3 linked regions of the Canis lupus familiaris genome follow. The main gene of each other region encodes a partner of the protein of the gene in region 3 in a complex. Links are inferred from orthologs where the notes say so. Each region holds a gene or a part of one and is shown on either strand. Other genes may lie near its edges.

The links. Proteins that work in one complex are often made in the same cells at the same time.
Region 1: CHD4 (region 3) and MTA3 share a complex: the UniProt entries of both Homo sapiens proteins name them as parts of the nucleosome remodeling and deacetylase (NuRD) repressor complex. The link is inferred for Canis lupus familiaris from reciprocal best matches to the Homo sapiens genes CHD4 and MTA3.
Region 2: CHD4 (region 3) and CDK2AP2 share a complex: the UniProt entries of both Homo sapiens proteins name them as parts of the nucleosome remodeling and deacetylase (NuRD) repressor complex. The link is inferred for Canis lupus familiaris from reciprocal best matches to the Homo sapiens genes CHD4 and CDK2AP2.

Annotation. Positions count from the first base shown.
Region 1 is NC_049238.1:34,299,820-34,306,888, forward strand, and holds the start of MTA3 (metastasis-associated protein MTA3), read left to right. Parts: upstream 1-3,056; 5' UTR 3,057-3,116; coding exon 3,117-3,144; intron 3,145-4,809; coding exon 4,810-4,877; intron 4,878-7,069. UniProt on the Homo sapiens protein: Acts as a component of the histone deacetylase NuRD complex which participates in the remodeling of chromatin.
Region 2 is NC_049239.1:50,470,831-50,477,998, forward strand, and holds CDK2AP2 (cyclin-dependent kinase 2-associated protein 2), read left to right. Parts: upstream 1-3,257; 5' UTR 3,258-3,853; coding exon 3,854-3,935; intron 3,936-4,240; coding exon 4,241-4,341; intron 4,342-4,427; coding exon 4,428-4,560; intron 4,561-4,917; coding exon 4,918-4,985; 3' UTR 4,986-5,455; downstream 5,456-7,168. UniProt on the Homo sapiens protein: Acts as a component of the histone deacetylase NuRD complex which participates in the remodeling of chromatin.
Region 3 is NC_049248.1:7,680,429-7,687,596, reverse strand, and holds the start of CHD4 (chromodomain-helicase-DNA-binding protein 4), read left to right. Parts: upstream 1-3,250; 5' UTR 3,251-3,408; intron 3,409-3,987; exon of another isoform or gene 3,988-4,158; intron 4,159-4,274; 5' UTR 4,275-4,352; coding exon 4,353-4,452; intron 4,453-4,728; exon of another isoform or gene 4,729-4,860; intron 4,861-5,154; exon of another isoform or gene 5,155-5,238; intron 5,239-7,168. UniProt on the Homo sapiens protein: ATP-dependent chromatin-remodeling factor that binds and distorts nucleosomal DNA. Acts as a component of the histone deacetylase NuRD complex which participates in the remodeling of chromatin.

The DNA.
Region 1 (7,069 bases), on a different chromosome or scaffold from region 3:
TTTTCCTGAACATCCATTTCTCTTCAGCTAAGTGGTAGGATGCTAGAAACTGACACAAGGAATGTCTTGGGCCTTTAGGAAATCTCTTATCCTGATTCTTTAATCACAATAGCCGTGCCAGGAAATTTTACCCACAGGAGGCTGGATGTGCCCTGGGATTTCTGGCATGGTCTAAGAGACATGTCTTCTTTATTTTTATTTTTAAAGATTTATGTATCATGAGAGAGAGAGAGAGAGAGGCAGAGACACAGGCAGAGGGAGAAGCAGGCCCCTATAGGGAGCCCGATGTTGGACTCGATCTCAGGACCCCGGGATCATGCCCTGAGCCGAAGGTAGATGCTTAACCACTGAGCCAGCCAGGCATCCCAATAAATAAAATCTTAAAAAAAAAAAAAAAAAAAAGTACTGCCATATGGGAGGTTAGCAAGTGTTTGGAGATTAAAAGAAACCCTTGGACCAGACAAAGGGTGGAAAAGTCTTAATCTTCAAAGATAGCAAAGGCACCTCCACCTCCATAGGCTGCATGGTTCAGCTCACAACCATGCCATCAACCAGACCTAAACTTCACTCCTACTTTGGCTATTTAGCTTTAAAACCTTGAGCAAGACACTTAACCCCTCTGAGCCTCAAATTCTTCAAAATATGATTACGGACTGACACCTATAGCAAAGGCTTGTGCTAAAAATTTAAATATATAAAGTGTTCATCACATGTCAAGAGCTTCCTACATATTAGGTCCCTTCTCTCTATGCCAGCCATCCTCATCACTAAAGAAGAGATGTTGGGGATTCCTTGCTCATTTACTTAAAAGTAATGGGCACTTTATTTATTTATGATAGGCACACAGTGAGAGAGAGAGAGGCAGAGACATAGGCAGAGGGAGAAGCAGGCTCCATGCACCGGGAGCCCAACGTGGGACTCGATCCCGGGTCTCCAGGATTGCACCCTGGGCCAAAGGCAGGTGCTAAACCGCTATGCCACCCAGGGATCCCTGGGCAAACACTTTAAAACTTGTGATGCATTCCTTTGTAATTTATGGTTTCCAGAGGCCTGTTCACTGGAGAAAGGCTTCCTGGTTTAGAGAATTCTAGGCCAGAGGAAAGGGCAGAATTATAATCCCAATACTGCTGGAAGACTCCAGGTGAATTATTCAATCTATTTGTCAGCACAGAAATGGAGAGAGTGATGTCAGATATGTCATAATACGTTTTCTGTGGGATCTCCAGTAAAAGGATTATGGTAACAGCTAGTCAGTGTGCATAACAGAACACTTCTGCTTTTTTCTCTGGGTCAGAAGAGCTGACACAGGTTCACACTGTACACATGGTGTAAAAACCCTTGGGAATCTGAAACTTTATGGAGTTAATAAAAAACAACAGACACCTGTTATTTGCATACTGCTCTATGCTGAATAGTTTATAAAGCATTTTCATATATTGTCACAACTGATCCTTACCCCACCTGTGAAATGGAATTAATGTTCTCATTTTGTACCTGAATAAATTTGGGTGACACACATCATCAAGGTAATTCAGGCAAATGTGCTTTATTTTTTACTTTGCCTCAGCTATATAGAGCATTATTTTTTTCACTTTAATAATTTGTGATCATGGACCATCACATATGCCATCACCATTCAAACACAACACAATCTTCTTTTCTGGGGACACTGCCCATCCCTGCACAGATCCCATACCCAGGGTCACCAACATGTAGCTGTAAATCACCAGAAACTCCACAAACAACTCACAACAGTGAGGGATCATCTTACCCTTGATTATATAATGATGTCTGGAAGTAGTTTGGAATGGATTGGCTTTTTATTTTTTCAATTTAAAACAAATTTTTATCAAGGTTTATTTGAGAGAGCACTTGGAGGAGAGGCAGAGCGACAGGGAGAGAGAATCCCAAGCAGACTCCTCACTGAGCATGGGGGGGGGTGTGTGTGTGTGCCTGGACACCGCCTCCAGATAATGACCTGAGCCAAAATCAAGAGTCAGGTGCTGCTGGCTTTTTAAAAAGTTGTTTGCATTCATTTGGGGGATTGCCAGCTAAGATTCAATTCAATTTGTTTTTTTGCTTGTTTCTGTGAGGGAATGGAGGCTGAGAATGCTGGGATTGCCTAGAGAATTGGCATGGGAAAATAATGATTCAAAAGCATTAGGCACATAACTAGTTAAAAGTCCATCAACAGTAAGGGGACTGAAACCATCTCCCCCTTTGTGGAGAGGGGGTGGGAATGGCGAATAAGTAGGGTCCCTTTCCTAAGGGCCTCTTTTCCTGGCAGGGCGGCACTGGATATAGGGTCTGTCTAGAGGCCAGGCCTCCGCTGGGAGTGGGTTCTGTTCAGCCCACGCGTGGGGTGAACTTGATAGACCTGTCAATGCAGTTGGGGTGACTTGGGAGGGGGTCAGTGTTTTTGGACTTCTCTCCAGCTAGCACGCTCCCTGGGGAAGCTGGTAGCACCAGGGTCCTCCTGGCCCCAAGGTATGCGGGTTCCATCACCACCATGAGGCAGGCGCTCTGCTGGGCGCACTTATTTGTTTCCAAGTGTTTGCCCTGAGGCAGGCGCCCACGTGCTCAAGGTCTTGCATACAAGGGCTCCCCAGGGACGCAGCAAGGAGGAAGACCTGTCTGCGGGTGGCCAGGTGACAGGGTACGGTGGCTGGGGCTGTGTGGGCTCGGGAGAGCCTGAGCCCCTGCCCCCACCCCAATTCTCCCACCGCTCCAGGTCCGCATTTGCCACTGCAGGCCTCCGCTTCGGCCACGACCCTTGCCCTGGGGTCGCCCACCTCCGGCGAGGGCCCCCAAGCCGCCGCCTCCCCAGGTCCCCGCGGGCCCCGCAGCGACCTCCCCCGGCCCGGCCCGGCCCGGCCCGCTCGGCCCGGCTGGCCCGTCGCTGGGGGCGGGAACCTGCCCCCACCCCGCGGCGTCCCCTCCCCTTCGCTTCCCCCTCCCCTCCCCTCGGTGCCTCCCTCCCCTCCCCCCCGCGGCGAGGCGGCGGCGGCGGCGGCGGCGGCGGCGGCGGCCGAGGCTGAGGCGGCCGAGGCTGAGGCGGCGGCGGCGCGGCGCGGCGGGCGGGGCTCGGCTCGGGCTCCGCGGGCGGGCGGGCGGACATGGCGGCCAACATGTACCGGGTCGGAGGTAGGAAGGCTCGGCCCGACCCGGCCCGTCTGGGAGCGGGCTCCGGGAGTGGGGGGTCGGGGCGAGTTCACCCTAACCGCCGGGGGCCGCGGGCGCGGGGGGCAGGGGCGCCGGGGCCCGCAGGAGGGGCCGGGGCTCCCCACCCGCGCCACCCGCGCCACCCGCCCCTCCCCCGGCCGTGGCCCGCCGGGGGCCGGCGCCCACCTTCCCCCTCGCTCGCACCCCCGCTCAGTTTTCTAGGGCCGGCCGGGCCTGTACTTGGGGGTGTGAATTCTCAGCTGCCCCCCTCCGAGACGCCCCCATTGGGTGTCGGCCGTCGAGCCCCCAGTGGGGTGCTCTTTCCCTGCGTGGCTTCCAGGCAGTGGGGGGGTTGGAGAGGATGGGGGGACGCCCCCCCGCTCTACTCCTTCACCCCTTCAGTTGGGAGCGGGGGGTGGGGGCGATGGGGGCTCAGCCAGGCACAGCTGGACAGGCCTGTTGGCGGGGATAGGGCCCTTCACCTCTCCTTCCTCACTCCCCCCTCCCGTTTCTTGCCCAGCCCCCCCAAGATGGGGCGTAGTGGGGCCAGGGCACCGCGGCCAGAGGTGGGGAGTTGAGCTCTGCCCGGACGTTTGCTCTGGTGACTGCCTTCTCAGCCCTCTGCAGAAAAGAGAAATAAGGTCAAACAAACTTTCTCCCTACTCACGACGCCCTCCTCCCTCTTTCTTGGTAGAATAATAATTCAGATAAGTGGCGTGTTTGTGTGTGAGACTTGGTCTTCTCTGCTCATTAGCTGAGCTCCTGATGGATGGTAGTGGGAATGGCCTGGCCAAATGAGGCCACTTTGCAGAAGAGAGACGACGGAAAGAGCCACTAAGATAGACAATAACAATGCAGCCCAGCCTTTCAAATAAACACACAGTGGGAAGTTTCCAGTGAGCCTATTACAGGAGAGGAAAAGCCACACTTGAAAATTTTTATCTTTTTTATTGAAAGCCTGCGGTGATTTTTTTTTTTATAACAAGACCCCAAATGGATCTGTATTAAATATGGTAAAGAGCATAACAAAATCCTGATAACCATCTCCAGAGAGCTCTGTCTCTCAGAAAGGGAATCCCCTTTCATGCCCCCCCCCCCCCCCCCAATCATCCCAGATAGAGCTGTGGAAGTTTGTCAGTGTGCTTCCTCTTACCTATTCTGCTCACCTGATTTTTTTTTTTTTTTAAGTTGGTGATTGAAATGTACTTTGGGCTGCTAAGCTTTTCAAGATGCTCTGAATTTGTCTTAGGTCAATAGTTTTATGTGAGAAGCATACTCCAGGGTAAATTGGATTGGAGGGGAAAGATGTGGAAGCAGTTATAGCATGAAAGACACATGTTTAGTCAGCCCTGACTACTCGGTGATGAGGAGTCTTTTTGTTTATTATTAAAGAAGTGATGTGTGGCATGAAAGGCTCAGAGAGCTTGATAAAACATTAATTGTTAAATGAAAATTTCAGGAAAATAAGGGTCTGTGAATAGTAGGCATGAGAAAATATATTAAGGTTGTATTGCTAAATTTGCTTTTAACCGGGAATGAATTATGTGCTTCATTTTGAATGTGCATTGCCTAATATAGAAAGTCATAGATTGACAAATGTGAACTTTCTGTTGAAAAGATTAAGGTCTTTACTTCCTTTAATTACAGATTATGTCTACTTTGAGAATTCCTCCAGTAACCCGTACCTAATCAGAAGGATAGAAGAACTCAACAAGGTATAAACGCTAAGTGTTCTTGATTCTAATATTAAAAAAAAATTGTTTTCCATTGACGAGTAATTAGGTAAAGGGCATAAGAGGTGATTTTACTTTCAGTCCTGGACTCTTTGAAACTAGAGATTGAAGATTAGAGAGTTATGCAGGATTCTGAATATTCTTTTGCTTTTATAATTACCTATGATATTAAATGTTACTGAATATTTAACATCTGCAGATTTCTGGGATGCCTGGGCTCAGTGGTTGAGCATCTGCCTTTGGCTCGGGGCGTGATCCCAGAGTCCCAGGATCAAGTCCCACATCGTGCTTCCTGCATGGAGCCTGCTTCTCCCTCTGCCTACATCTCTGCCTGTCTGTGTGTCTCTCATGAATAAATAAATAAAATCTTAAAAAAAAAAATCTGCAGATTTCTTCACGTTGCTCAGATCTTCTCGGAGCAGGTCACTCTTGTAACTGTCCCTTTTTATATTTAGAGTCATAATTGTATTTCTTTCAGGGAATTATTTTTTCCTCTTTCAGCTTTAGAAAGAGGAAGCTAGGAAATGTAGTATTGAAGCGAATTTGTAAAATTTTGGACTAGGTCAACTAATAAGAATACAGTTTTGTTATAATGTAAAGTAGCTTCCTACTTTAGGCCTGACAGCAGAAGCTTTGTGACTGTTTGCAATAGGTGAGCTTATTATAATGGTAGCATATGAAAAGCCATAAACTATATGAACCATGGATTACTAATGGTGCTCTGGTTTCCTCCAAACCAACTTTGAAGATTATTTGTTTTACTTATGAGAGTTCATAGTGTTAAAATGTCGGAAGCTGTCTTGCTAATACCTTTCCTCCAAAGTACCTTCTAGAGACTGGGGAAGTTCTGAGTCCCAGGATGTAAGATTTGGTTTAGGGCATTTCTGGTTTATGAACCCTGAGATCTTGGTTTGCTTCTGGAGACATCCCCATGGACCTTACATCTATAAAAATTCTGTTGTAGTTGAGACCACCACCATCAAATGAAGAAAATGACCTCAGGATTAGATCAGTCTGTTGGTGGGAACAGTTGGGGTGTCATTTTGATCTTTTTTTTTTTTTAAAGATTTTATTTCTCCATGAGACACACACACACACACACACACACACACACACACACAGAAGCAGAGACACAGGCAGAGGAGAAGCAGGCCCATGCAGGGAGCCTGACGCAGGACTTGATCCCCGGTCTCCAGGATCAGGCCCTGTGTTGAAGGCGGCGCTAAACTGCTGAGCCACCTGGGCTGCCCTCATTCTGATCTTCTCTTTTATTTTAGTGATGTGTAAGAGTGTAGGCAACTTGAAACTGTTTATGAGTTTATTTAGAAAATTAATTAGGATACAAAGAGAAGTGTTGGCCTATGAAACATATTCTCTGGCTGCTCCCTATCCCTCTGACCTCCACTCTTACTGCTCTCTGCCTTGTTCATTTAGCTCCAAAGACAGTAGACTCTTTGCTGTTTTCACATACACGTACCTCAGGACCACCCCACCAAGTTGTTTCTAATTCCCTGTACCTTGCTCTACCTTGCTCTTTTCCATATTATTTATCACTTTCAAATATAGTTAATTATTGTGTTTGTTTTCATTGTCTGTTTTCCCGGACTAGAATGTAAGCTCTGTGTGTAGTGATCTTTTCTGTTCACTAATGCATCCCAAGTGCCTTAGAGTAAGAGACTGGCACATAGTTAAGGCATTCAGTAAATATTTATTGAATTAATGAATTTCTCACACGTCTGACGTTAAACAAGAGCCTTAACATAGGGAATAACAGAAGTCACTTCTTTTGGATAGAAAAGGAAAGGATTTTAAGGACATTGAAGTTGGGGACGCCTGGGTGGCTCAGTAGTTGAGTGCTTGCCTTCGTCGCAGGGAGTGTTCCTGGGGTCCTGGGATTGAGTCCCACATTAGGCTCCCAGCATGGAGCCAGCTTCTCTCTCTGCTTGTGTCTCTGCCTCTCTCTCTCTCTCTGTGTGTCTCTCATTAATAAATAAATAAAATATTAAAAAAAAAAAAAGACATTGAAGTTTAAGCCTAAAGGATGAGAAAGAGGTAGCCATGGGAGAGATGCCACACTAGCGTTCCACATAAAGGCCCTGAGGGATCAGAGGTCAAGCTGGCAAAATGGGGAAAGTTAACATGATGGAAAATCCAAATAATGAATTTAAGAACAC
Region 2 (7,168 bases), on a different chromosome or scaffold from region 3:
CTCAACCGTCAGGTAGGCCAGGTTCCCTCTTACTCAGCCTTTCTGTTCCATTTGGGTCTTCAACTGATTGGATAAGGGCCACTCACCAGGGGAAGGGCCATCTGCTTTACTCCATCTACCAATTCAATGGATGTTAACCGCATCCAGAGACACCCTCACAGACACACCCAAAATCATATTTGACCAAATATCTGGGCCTTGTGACCCAGGCAAGTTGACCCTTAAAAGTAACCATCACAGTCTGTTAATATCTCACATTAGAATTGGTACATGTGCCACAATTAATGAACTAACACTGATACAGTTATTAACTAAAGTCGATATTTTATGCAATTCCATATGCAGATTCCATAATTTTTTCCCTGATTATCCTGCTGTTCCAGAATGCCATCCAGGATACCACAATACATTAGGCATCATGTCTCCTCAGACTCCTCTCAGTTTTGACAGTTTCTCAAACTGCTCTTGCTTTCTTAGGATCATGGCAGTTTTAAGGACTGGTCAGATATTTTATAAAAAGTCCCTAAATCGGGATTTGTCTGATGTTTCTCTCATGATTAATCTAGGGTTATGGGTTTGCAGGAGGAAGACCACAGAGGTAAAGTGCCTTTCTCATCCATTATTATCAAGGGTGCATACTATTAACATGACATCACTATGGATGTTGACCTTGATCACCTGGCTGGAGGTAATGTTTGTCTAAATTTCTATACTAGTGGGCAGCCTGGGTGGCTCAGCGGTTTAGTGCCTTCAGCCGAGGGCGTGATCCTGAAGACCCAGGATTGAGTCCCACGTGGGGCTCCCTGTGTGGAGCCTGCTTCTCCCTCTGCCTGTGTCTCTGCCTCTCTCTCTCTCTCTCTCTCTCATGAATAAATAAATAAAATCTTTTTAAAAAATTTCTATACTAGAAAATTACTCTTTTTTCTTTCTCCCATTATGTACTACACTCTCTGGAAGAAAGTCACTATGTACCCCCACACTTAAGGGGTGGGGGTTAAAATCCACCTGATTAAAGGCATATCTACATAAACTACTTGGAATTCTTCTACATAGATTTGTCTCTTCTCTTCCTTTATTTGTTTACTCAACCATTTATATATATATATGATATACCATATAAGTTATATATGATATATGTTATATAATTACATCTACTTACATACATATAATTACATCCTAGACATTACATATCAATATATAATATCTCCACCTTTATTTACTCAACCATTTATATGTATAAATGATATACATAAATATACATATATATATATCAGTATAGGCTTATAGATATTTATTTTATGCAAGTTATAATCCTATTCTTTTTAAAATTTTGTTCAAATTGCTCCAGCTTTGGCCACTGGCAGCCCTTTCAGCTGGCTCCTGTATCCCTTTGGTATATACCCATCATGTTAGCATTTGGGGTTTGGGATTTTGGGGTGTGGTGGGTTTGGGGTTTTGTGAGGTTTTTGGCTTTTTTTGTTTTGTTTTTTTTCTTCCAAGATCATCTTGTATATTTCCTACCCCAGTCTTAGAATTAGCCATTTCTCCAAGGAACTCTGGTTCATTTTATTGGAGAATGCTATTAGAAACCAAGATCTGGGTGCTAAGTTGCTTCTAGGCCCTCTCAGCAGACAGAGGAGATACCCATGTACACTAATCTGTGTATATGCAGTCTTTATATAATTTCTCTATGTAACCAACTGTATCTACATTGAGCTAAACATGAGTTCATACTGATATCTCCAGTTCCAACCTTGATCGTGTTAGCCTCCTCCACATGCTTACCTGTCACTACTTATTCCAACAATAAGAAATCATCCATCCTGACTTAACTGTCAATTCTAGTGTACATGTGCTGTGGCTTCACAATTGTTAACCCATACTGCCACAGAAAACCGCTTCATCAACTAAAGTTGATGCTTACCCGCAGCTCCTTTACATTCACTTACAGACTCCGCCCATTTCCAGATTAGCACCTTACTCCCCCACCCCTTTAGTGAGGCTGTCTCAATCCTACCATACAAAATAACTTCACTGCCTTAAAAAAAAAAAAAAAAAAAAAAAAAAATCCCCGATGTCACTCATTTAACTCTACCCCTCACCACCCCCGGCACCCAGTAATCTGTTTACCTCATGTATGAGTTTGTCTTTTCCAGAATGTCATACAATTGGAACCATACAGCGCATAGCTTTTTCAGACTGGCTTCTTTCGCTTAGAAATATGCCTACCTGTGTCTTTTCAGAGCTAGATAGATGATTTCCTTTTATTGCTGAATAAATAGTCCCTTATACGGATATATCACAGTTTGTTCATTCGCCAATTGAAAGCTGCCTCCTCTGCAAAGACTCCTGTGATGTCACCAAGCAGGCTCCTTCCTCTTAGTTCCAATGCATCCTGTATACCAGTCTCCACATTGTCTTATTGTGCTGTGTGCCTTTGCTTTCCTGTCTGTCTCTCCTTGAGACCAGGAGCTCCTTGAGGAGAGAAGCCACGGCCAGTTCATTTCCATATCATCAGTGTCCCGCACAAGGATGGAGGATGGAGTCAGAAAATGCCTGTTGGATGAATGGACGAATGAATGAAATGTCACGGAGAGGAGGAAAATCTACAGACCTGGGGCATGAAGAATACACAAGGCCAGAATAGTTTTGAGGCGAAGTAGCCCAAGAGAAAGGGTTAGTGTTCGGAGGAAAGTCTAAGATCTAGGGTGGTGAGGAATGAAATTTGAGGGGAGGGGTCTGGATGCAGAAATGGAAAGAAAAGAGGACAATGAAACAAGCTCCTTATGAATATTCATTTATCCACACAACCCTGTAAGACAGTTATTACTAACGTCCGCATCTTTACGATGGGGAAACCCAAACATACTAGGGTAACTTGCCCAAGGGGAAATCGCTGGTGCGGTGGGGTGAGATTCGAACCATCAGCCTCGCTCCACTTGGTGCTCTCACCCAAGATCGGTTTGGTACAGGGCCCGGCGAGCGGCGAGAATTCAACGAAGGCGAGATGATCCTGCTGTTGCCAGTAGGAGGCCCAGGCTCGGAGTCTTGGAGGACTGGCTGAGGGGTCTTTGAGGCCGCCCTCGGACCTAACACGAGCTTAGACCAAAGGACGAGGCAAACCCGAGAGGCGCGGAGGCAGCGTCGATGAGGGACCCGTTGCCATAGGAACAAACGGAAGCTTTAGGAGGGCGCATGCGCAGGCCGGGGAAAGGGTGTGGAGCCGGCGAAAGGTGACGTAAAAGCGCACGGGGTGAGACGCAGGGCTCCGCACGTCAAAGCCCTGCGTCCTCCGGCATTCAGTGCAGTGGAAAGGCGCGCGCGGTGCTGGCGCCGGCAGTGATAGCAGCCCCAACTGGACCGAGAGCAGGCGGTGCGGAGCTGACGTGCAGAGCAGCGCCAGTGAAGCGTGAAGGCGGCGCCCGCGCCGGGAAGACCCCTCCGCGCAAAACGCGGCCGACCGGACCCGGGTCCCGGCTTCCAAGGCCCCGCCTCTCGGGCCTTGGGACTAATCGGATTGAGAGCGCGCCGGCCCGGACCCCGAACTCGCCAATTGCGTAGGGCGTCAGCTACCGCCCAATCCGGAGCAGACAGGTGCGAGGTCCGAAAGGCGGAGACCAATCAGCAGCGGTTGCGGCCTGTTGGGGCCGATCTCTGCCAATGAGGAGGCCCGAGTGACATCCGCGCACACCAATCGGGAGTGAGAGAGCGTTCGTGCCCGCCCGCCCTTCCGGCCTGAGCTCTATTTACCAGGGGCGTGCGGCCGGTTTACCAATCAGAGCGCGGCTGAGCGGCCGAGCAGCCAACCCCGGAGGAGCGGCCGGCCGGCGTCCGCCGCACCCGAGAGTTGGGGATGTCCTACAAACCCATCGCCCCCGCCCCCAGCAGCACCCCCGGCTCCAGCACCCCTGGGCCCGGCACCCCGGTCCCCACAGGTGAGGATCCGACTCTACCCCTGCTCGCCTGCCCGGGTGGTCGAGGTCTCGAGAACACGGCCCGAGTTCTGCAACACTGGGCCTGCTGCCTCCCCTCTCTGAGCCTCAGTTTGCTGGCCTGTGAAGTGGGCGTGGTCACGTAAGGGCTAGTTGGTGGAGCGCAGGGGGAGGGGTTTGTCGCTGAAGTTGAGCGCCTGGAGCGAAGTATCCCTTTGGAGGGAAGCGGGCGAATCCGGTCGGGGGCTTGGAACGCTGGGAGGCCGGGTCCCGGCCCCGCGCTGACCTATTACTCGCGCATGTTGCAGCCGGAAGTGTCCCATCGCCGTCGGGCTCAGTGCCGGGAGCCGCTGCCCCTTTCAGGCCCCTGTTTAACGACTTTGGACCGCCCTCCATGGGCTATGTACAGGTGAGTGGGGTGAGGGATTGCCTACGGACGGGGACTGGAGGTCCCCGCGGGCCCTGAGCTCATGGCCCTGTCCTCTTTTGACATAGGCAATGAAGCCACCTGGCGCCCAGGGCTCCCAGAGCACCTACACGGACCTGCTGTCGGTCATAGAGGAGATGGGTAAAGAGATCCGGCCCACCTATGCTGGCAGCAAGAGCGCCATGGAGCGCCTGAAGAGAGGTAAGTGAGGCTTCCACCCTCCCTGCTCAGGAGACTAACACTGGACAATCCTTCCTTAGCAAAGGAAGGACATCTGGAGGCCGCGTGACCCAAGCCTAAACAAGGGTGGGTGTCACTTTCCAGGGAGGTGTTTTGAATTGAATTGAAATTGAGTCCGTTTGGGGGGAAGGACCAGGGCATTTGTCTTTCAAAAGGACAAATTTGAGGATTAGCCAAATCGTTAATCTCATCAGGCCCTTTATCATCCTCCTCCCTTTCACTGGAAGGAAAGGGGGTGGGGAAGGAGGGTCTTCCTCTGGAGGATGAGGGTGGGACCCTGCAGGGTCGCTGCATGTTACTTGCCCATTCCCACCTCAGGCATCATCCATGCCCGGGCCCTAGTCAGAGAGTGCCTGGCAGAGACAGAGCGGAACGCCCGCACGTAACAGGACGCAATTCCACCGCCGAGTCTGGACCTTTCCTGGCCACTGCAGAGCACCTGCTTCTCCCTGGCCTTCACCCCGAGTTGCACTTCCCAACCTGGGCTTCCTGTCCTGTGTCCCCTGGTGGGTGCCCTCCAGGAACCAGGGGGCGGCTCTCACTCCAGCCGACAACACTTGACTGGGACTCTTTCAAGAGTTAGCAGCGAGGTCACTGTGAGTCCCGCCCATGACCTGCCAACAGTGTTGATCCAACTGGAGCTTGCTCCTTTCTGTGGCCCCCACCACTCAGCACTTACCCAGGACTTGTCACCACCTTTCCTAGACTCCTCCCCTAGCAAGGCCTCCCTAGGCCTGTCACCTCCCTGCCTTGTCTCCTGGGCCATAGCGACTCTTTTTTCAGTCAGTGTCTTTTGCTAAATATGCCCTTTTTGTATAAATAAAAGATAATTTGGAGTTGTTCTCTCACCTCTTAATCTTTCTGAGTGTGGTGCTTCTGCTGAGCCAGGAAGAAATTGGAAAAGAGGAGATCGAGGAGGGGAGAGGGGCAATGCAGTGGTGGGAGACAGGGCCACTGAACCTGGCCTGGCCTGGCTCCTACTGTCCATTGACTTGGCTGGGACCCTGCCCTCCTCCAGCCCTGGGCCTTCACAGTTCTGAGTCTTGAAAAGGCTTAAGCTCCAGTAGCTGTGAGCCCTACCCTCCTACACGTGGTGCCACCAGGGGGCAGCCTGGAGCTTTAGCCGCCTCCACAGCTGGAGGGCACTGTCGCCAGCCCGGGCCTAGAGGGTTCTTTCTCTGGATTGGCAGTCAGTGCCTGGCAGGGTGGAAATGTCAGTTCATATAAGCCAGGCCCTCACGTGTCTTAATTTTCTAAAATCTTAACCTCCCAGTCAACCCTGGAAGGTTCTGAACACGTCCTGACTTCTCAGAGGAGAGGGGGCACTGCTGCTGCTTTTCTCCAGCACCTGAGAAGCAGAGCCAAGGGGAGAGGATGGTCTTCCAACAGGAGCGAGATCCAGCTTGGTGCTGCCATCCACTGTCCCAGCACCTCCTAGCCAGCTGGGTGTGGTCCCGTGAGCCCAGCCCTCAGGTGTCTCAGCCTTTGCCCAGGGTCTGGTTGGCCAGACTTGTGGACCCGGAAGGCATCTGTGGGAAAAGCCATGGGGCCCCATTCAGGGGCTAGACCAAGGATTTCCGGTGACCACAGTAGCGGTCTGCCTGGGTGTGTACCTGAATGACCCCAGAGGCCTAGGGCACTGGAACCCCAGCCCCTTAGAAGAGGCAAGTCTAGGACCAGCTTCTCGGCTAACTTTGGGGACTGAGACATTTCCCCTATCCCGGGTTCCAGGTTGGAGGGCTGGGGAGAATGGGGATGGGGTCCTGCCATATTTCCATGGCACACAGGAGGGCTGGGCCAGGGTGGAGACACGAGCCATTAGAGCTTAGGAGATCCCAAAGAGCATAGCGGGAGTAAAAAGCGCCAGCACTTGGAGAACTGCCTCTTCCCCCGCTGCCTGGGGGAAGGAAGGCAAGGGCCGCCCTCCGCCGCCACGGGCGGGGCTGCGGGACCCCGCAGGAGTGGGGAGGGCCAGCCGGGCCCAGGAAAGGGGCGGGGCGGCCGCAGTGACGCGGCGGGCGGGGGGAGGGACGGCAGGGGCGCCGGCGGGCGGACCCGGAGGAAGGTCGGGGCCATGGGCCCGCGCTGCACCTCCAGAGGGTCCGGCGGCTGCTGGAACCCGAGGCTGGGGCTGGGGGCCCTCCGGGCTCCGACCCACGGCCCTCCCGCCCCCACCCGGACCGGGTGAGGGGCGCCCGCCCTAAACTAGAGGTGAGACGGGACGTCGGCGGGCGGGCCAAGAACACGGCGGGGGACGGTCCGCCGGGGAGCAGAGGGAAGTGGGGACAAATGGGGCCTCTCGCCTGCTCGCCGGGTGCGAGGTGGGAGGGGTGCCTGTCGCGGAACCGGGGCGCAGAGGGGCGGAGCGGGTCTCTCGGGGTGGGGGCCGTGGGATACCCAGTGGAGCCACTCTTGCCTCAGCCCCAGGAGGGGTCAACTCCGGGAAGGATGATGGTGTGGCTGCATAGACGAGTGCCAGGGGTCCAGGAAGGATGCTGAGGAGGGGAAGTCGAGGACTGGGCTGCGGGCCAGAAGGGCAAAGGCAGGTCTGGGGGCCGGAGGGGTTAGT
Region 3 (7,168 bases):
GGAAACAGCCTGTACACCCATGGACGTGGCAAAAGGGTGGTCTAGGCAGTTAAGTCAGGCAGGAGTTGGTGAAAAGAAGTATCCACATCACCGGTGCTCTGCTTGGAAGCAAAGGGATAGTAACTTTCTTTCTTTTTAAGATTTATTTATTTATTCATGAGAGACACAGACTGAGAAAGAGGCAGAGACCTAGGCAGAGGGAGATGTAGGCTCCCTGCAGGGAGCCCAATGCAGGGACACCATCTCGGGATCTCAACCTGAGCCAAAGGCAGGTGCCCAAACACTGAGCCACCCAGGCGTCCCGGGATAGTAACTTTCTTGGAGCAAGTTCTTACCTCCTGAGTTTATTTCTCCTTGCTACATCTCCAGCCCTGGGTTCCTAGGCAAGGGCAGAGTCCTCTGGCCAGGTCCCTTCTCTAGGAAAGTGAGATTAGAAGAGCAATGCAGTGATGGCGTGAGGTCTATCCTATTCACTTCTGATTAGGAAGGCTCCTCCTAGAAGAACATCCCAGTTTCTCTACCACCTGTCCCACTGCCATAGGTCTTGGATTTGTATGAAAAAGGCACATGACAACAAAGAAAGGCATTATCTCTGCCTCAGGGGTCAGGGGCAGCAAGGCAGTGGTGCCGGGACATTGGTTCTCATCTGGGTCCTGGCTCTCTGGGGATCAGGAAAGAGGGAAAAGTGACAGATTTATGGGTGCAGGCTCTCTGAGGGCTAACAGGTCTTAAGATTGAGCTCTTGGACTTTCTAGGGCTGGGTCCCCAAGGTACTGCAAAATAGGCCCAGTCTGGGAAGTGGAGGGTACATGTTGGAAGACTTCCTTGCAGCATAATTGAATGAAAGAAGCATCCTGGAATGTTGACTTGTACACAGGAGGGAAGATGGTGAATATTATACATCAAAAGGTTTTTTTGGATGGAGCATGGGGCCTCAACAAGATAAGAATGGGGGCAGTTGGAAGTATGAGACTTCAGGATACAAACAATCCAGGTTAAAAATGTCCAGGACAGGGATGCCTGGGTGGCTCAGCGGTTGAGCATCTGCCTTCAGCGCAGGGCATGATCCTGGAGACCCGGGATCAAGTCCCACATCGGGCTCCCTGCATGGAGCCTGCTTCTCCCTCTGCCTGTGTCTCTGCCTCTCTCTCTCTCACTGTGTGCCTATCATAAATAAATTAAAATAAATAAATAAATAAATAAAATCTTAAAAAAAAATGTCCAGGACATTTAGGGTCAGCATAATTTGGTGTTCAAGAATGAGGGTAACAATTCTGGTGTGTTAAGAGTCTCTCAAGAAGGAGGCACATGATAGGATATTATAGGATTTCAGAAACGCTGGATAGATGGACATTGCTTTCCAATCAAAATCCCTTAGTGTGGTAGGGAACAGAGAGGAGATATCTTGGCCACCCATCTATATCATCCTTTTGGAATACCTTCTAGCCTATAGAAGGACTATCAAGAACCTCTGTTGGGATCTGATCTCTCCTGAGACCAGTTGGGATTTATTTTATTCTCTGTAACAGGAAATTGGGAAATAGCACTGAGCAGTGTTCCCTTGACACCAGACATTCTATCTTGTCTCATTGTTTGATGAAGGGAGGCACCTGTGGTTCTTGCATTCCCTGTGGTGCCCACCTTGGTGCCTTACTAGGTATGCTGGCAACATCTGTTAAATGAACATGATATATTATATATATATATCCTCATGTCACATCATGGTGGGATGTCCATCCATGGGAGTGGCCCAGGTGTGTTGCACCATCTGACCTGGAGAGGTAGGATGAGGTGGGAGAAGGACTGCTGAAATGTTGAGAAGTAGGCTAAAGACTCCTTTCTAAAGATTGGAGTTTATTATGACTAGGGGAAGCTGTGGGGTGAATTAAACTTTATGTAAATGGTTCATCTGGTCAGCCTGGTATTTGGCTGGTCTTACTCAATATTTAAGAGCTGGAGCTGGAGGTAAGCATCTGGAGAATAACTGGATTTGGGTGGGATTGGGTGGGGCCCTAGGTTGACTGGCAGTTCCTGAGAGTCTAGAAATGGTCTGAGGGAAGGTAGGGCTTGCCCTAGACATCAAGAGGTTTTATGCCAGGATACTGCTTTGGCCCAGAAAGGGATAAAGGTATGTACAAGTTGGGGTGGGCACAGGGCAGTGCGGGTAGCAGCCTGCTTCACAACCTTGTGGCTCTGGGTGTTAGAATAGACCTGATGGCCTGAGGAGGTGGGGGAGGTATGAATGTGAATATTATGGGATGCCTGGCTGGAAAGGTATAGGGGTGGTGGCTGGCGATGAAGCATTATGGGATGTGCTGGGAGTATTAGAGTATGTCTGGTGGACCTCGGGCTCCTTGACATTATTATGGGATATCAAGGTGTGGGTGGGAGAGTAAAATTATGGGATATCTTTCCAGCGTTAGAGGAAAGGAGATTGGATGTCCATCTGTAGGGTGACAGTGGGGCTGCCGATCATTAGAGGATATCTCTTTGACAGAGAAGAGGTTACTATGGGCTGTGGAGTTAGAACGCATGTATGAAGGCTGAGGGTGGTGGTGTGAGGATCTAGACCCTAGTCTGCAGGGGCTGAGGGCAGCTCAGGCTAGGGGGTTGGTTATTATGGGATGTCAGTGTAAAAGTGGGAAACTGATTATTACGGGATGTGTGTGGGAGGAGGCCGAAGTGTCCGTTGTAGTACTGGGGGGGGGGGGGCGTTGTTTCTGACTATTATGGGATATCAAACTGGGGGTGGATGAAGAGTGGTTATTATGGGATGTCTGTGGGGGATGGGGAATGAGTATTATGGGCTGTGAGGCTTAAGTGCTGGGAGGGGTGCTTATTATGGGATGGCCATGGGGAAGGAGAGGTGACGAATTATTATGGGATGTTAGCATTAGGGCCAAGAGTGAAGAAGTTGGCAAAGGATGGCTATTATGGGATGTCTGAGGTGGGGAAAGGGTTAGTTGCAAAGGTCTGCAATATTATGATATGTCAACAACCTTAGCATATAGGTGTATGGAGTGTATGTGTGTGTGGGGTGGTGGTGGTGGGGTGTCCGTGTGTATTATGGGATGGCCGGAGGTGGGTGGTTGCCCGGGTGACACGCGCGCGCGCGCTCGAAGGGGGCGTGGCCAATGGTTGCCGGAGCGACGAGGGGGCGGGGGTTGCCCGGGAGACCTAAGGAGGAGGGTGGCGGTAGTGGAGGGGGGGTTGGAGTTGGTTGAGGTTATTATGGGCTGTCCGTGGGGGGGCGGGGCCTGTGCGGTGGGATTTCCCGGCCGGTGTTTCGGGCCCTTTAAGAGGCGACGCCGGAGCCGGAGCCATTTTCCCCCCTTCGGCCGCGGCGAGGAGGAGCCGGAGCGGGAGTGACACCGGGCCGGACCCAGCGCGACCTGCGGCGGCTCCGGGGTGAGGAGAGCGCGGGGTTCCTAAAGAGACGCCCCTCTGAGCCTGACCAGCCCCCAAGCTCATCCCTCCATCCACCCCTTCCTCAGATGTCCCGGACTCGCGGACCGCCCCCTGCCCAGAGGAGCCGACCCTTCCTTTTCCTTGCCTGCAGGGCGCCCTGCCCCCCCCGCCCCCGCCCTGAGCCGGCCCGAGTCCTGCCCCCCGCGGCTCCCACCTCGGGCTGGGTCTCCCACAATGCCCGGCGCCCGCCCCCTCGCCCTTTGCTCACTTGCCCCCCGGGACACGTGGCCCGGCCCCCTGCCCGGTGGGCGCTCCCTCGCCCCCCGCGTCCCAGCCTCCAGCCCCCTGGAGCGCCCGAGCCTCCACGCCCCCTCGGCCCCGTGGCTCCTCCGGAGAACCTGAGTTGTCCCAGAGGACAGCCTTTGGAGAGCTGCCCTGTCTGGGGACTGGCCCCTCCCCAGGCGCAGGGAGGCGCCCCCCCACCCCCAAGTGACCTTGTGTCCCCGAGCGCCTCGCTGCCTGCCGCCTCCCCCGACCCCCCCGCGCCGCGGCCACTCGGACCCCCCTCCCCCGACATACCCTGCTCGGTCCAGCCTGGTTTCTCCCCCTCCCCACGCCTGCACCAGCCTGCCCTCGGGGGCGTCGCTCCCGCTCATCTGGGGGGCTCCAGTTGGGGAGCCGGCTTCCGGGCTGCCCTCGAGGAGTGTGGAACTAAGTTCAGCCTGAGTGGTTCGGGTGCCCTGCTAGGGTGGCTGGGGTTGGGGGGGCCGCTTTGGTGGTGGGCGGAAAGAGCGGGTGGGTGTGGGGGAGGGGGACAGTGCGCGTCACTGACTGTTCTCTCTTTCTTCCCCCCCTCCCCCGCACAGTGACTCGGGCCAGTGTAGAGGGCCCCAGGCCGCAGGCAGGAGCAGCTGGGCCAATTCCCTGGCCGGGAGCGGAAGGGGATGGCGTCGGGCCTGGGCTCCCCGTCCCCCTGCTCCGCGGGCAGCGAGGAGGAAGATATGGATGCACTTTTGAACAACAGCCTGCCCCCACCCCACCCAGGTAAATCTTCCCCAAGGGCCCTGGGCAGGAAGGAGGCATTTGGGCCCTCCCTAGCGACTCTGGTGAGGCAAGGTTGAGTTTCTCTCTCTCCGTGCAGAGTCTGAGGTGGAGGGCATCCGAAGGGAGTGGTTCCCTTCTGCGGAGCTCTTGTGGGAGGGGGTGGAAGCCATGTGCCTCCTGGGCTCTGGGACCGAGATGCAAGCTTGCTGCACTGTCTGTTTTAAGGAATGCTATGCAGTTCCCAGTTGAGGGAGCCCTCTGGTCTGGAGACCTTACCTTGTGTGGGTCCACGGAGGAATGCAGGTGGCTGGGACCCGTTGGAGGCGGGGTGGGGGTTCGGGTGGGTGTCGAGGATTGCATGTTGAAGACCAGCCCGGCATCTGTGTTAGCAGGATCCTGTGGTTGCTGCTGTGGAAAGGAGAGAGGGAGTGCTGGTTACTCTCTATCTGATTATTTTTAGCTTCTGATCAGTTACCGGTTTTCTGTGATGTCTCAACTGTGAAGTTTGAATTGCGCTCCTCAGCTGGGATGTAGAGAGCTTTTAGCAGGCAGATTGCTGGAATGTTTCAAATGGGGAAATGATGGGGGCTTGGGGTAGGATGTCACACCCTGAAGGATATACTAGGGAGGGGCAAAAGAAGGGAGGTGACACCCTGGGCAACCCCCCCCCCCCTTCCCATAGCAAATGGACATGATACAGACTTTTTTCCTAGAGGCTTCTGCTTTGGTGCAGGGAGCCTAGGGTTTGGGCTGGTGTCATGAAGTGTTTGTGTAGGTGTGTTGGGGGTTGTTCTGTGTTTGTGGGTGGCTCCTGGGACTGGCCAAACCCGTATGGTTGTAATCATCCTGCCTGATTGGAGAAGCTCTTGTCTCTTCTCAAATGGTGATTGATGTCATGCATCTGAGTGGATGTCTCTCTCTTGTCTGTCTTTCCTTTTTCACAGCCCGTAGCTAAGTCACCTACTTGTTTCCTTGACCTTTTTTTCAAGCTTCTTTTTTTTTTTTTAAATGTCATTTCTTTATCCTTCTGCTTATCTTTATTTTCGCTTTAATTCTGGAGCCTGCTGGTCGTGTTTTTGTTTCCCATCAAACATCTTTCACTTCTGCCTTCTCTCTCCTTAGCTGTAGCAGTAAGTTGAGGTCTGGGAAAGATGTTCCTACATTTTGGTGTTTTCTAAGTTGGAAGTCTTCAAGTCTTAGTTTGAAACTGAGGCCACTTAGTAAAGGGGTCAGTCTTGTTGCTGAGTCTTCAGCTGTTGGGATGAGAAACTTAGGCTCGAGTCTCATCACTGTGTAGACCAAGGTGGCAAATTTCTGTACTGTTGCCCAAGGTGGGGGTGGGGTAGCAGCATTGGTAACATGATCTGACTCTCTCTGTGAGGGGCGAGAGAAGTAGTAGTGCTGTCCAGCCAATGTTGGTTCCACATTTTGGCTTCCCATTGGCCCCTTGGGCTGGGGCTGCCCCTGTGTTGATTGGGAGCAGTGCAGGCTCCCAGGGTGAACTCTGCCCCAAGCTGTAGCATGACCCAGTTTTTCCACTTGCCACACCCCATTCCTGCCCCTTTCCCAAATCTTCTTTTATGTCTCAGCCACTTTGAATGTTGTCTCTGTGCATTATCTGCTTGAGAAGTTTGGGGGTCTTATGTGGATGGGTGTTCCCTTCACCTGCACGGGTTTGTCCTGGTGTCCAGCTTTCACGGAGGTGAGGAAGATGAGGAACTGAGAGATGTGACTTATTAGTGAGGGGGATGACATGGGGGATTGCTTTGAAAAAGCCTTAAGAAAATGGTTCTTTCTGGTGAGATCCAAGCTGGTGTTCCATTCCCAAGGGAATGGGAGGGGCTTTCATATGCCTGGCCTGATCCTGGGCTGAGTGGGGGGAGGCTGATGGTGCTTTGTCAAGCTTAATGTCTCATATTCCCTAGTATCTGCCTTGCTCAGGAAGGGCGGAGCCAGAAGCATTTTAGGGCTAGTTCTGGGAGTCAGGGGCGAATAGAAGGAAGCATATTGTCCCGCACTGTCCAGGTGCTGCTCTTCTTTTCTTCGTGTGAACATCACATATGCTGGATAGGTGGCTACTTCTAATCTGTGAGAGGTAGTTTAGGGTCTATGGCTTGGACTCTTGGGGAGGTAGGTGGTGAGAAGGGAACTGAGTTGTGGAGACTTCTGGCCTCCCATTCCTCAAGCTAAATTTTTTGGGTATCAAAAATTCAAGAAAGTTGTATGCTGTGACCACAGCTCCACTGAGTTTTTGTTAAATCTTAGTTCTGATGATTGGAAAAATAATTATGATTGAGGCAGTAACCCAGTCTTTCTTGTGGTATTACCCTTCATGTTTGTCTTGGGTTTCCTTGCCTAGGACATTAAAGTGGCTTGTTGAGAACTGTGTCATCCCAAAATAGGTGTTAGGAGAAGTGGTATGTGGACCTGGGGCCAGGTAGCAATTTGGGAAGTCTTGTGAGGGTAGTCTTTCCTCGGCTACCTCTCTCAACCCAACCCCCTCTCCCCTGCTACTTCCTGTCCTATGTTGGCAGCTGGGTGCCCTGGGCTGGCTTTTGCGGTCAGGAGCCATTTTCCCTCTCCTCAGTGGGTGAGGCACTCCCTCCTTCTCTCCACTCCCTTCTCCACTCCCGCCTCCCTGGGCGGGGGTGGCTTAGGAAGAAGGAGAGAGAGGAGGGAGGAGGGAGTTGGTGTGAATGTGTGTTAGTTACAAAGG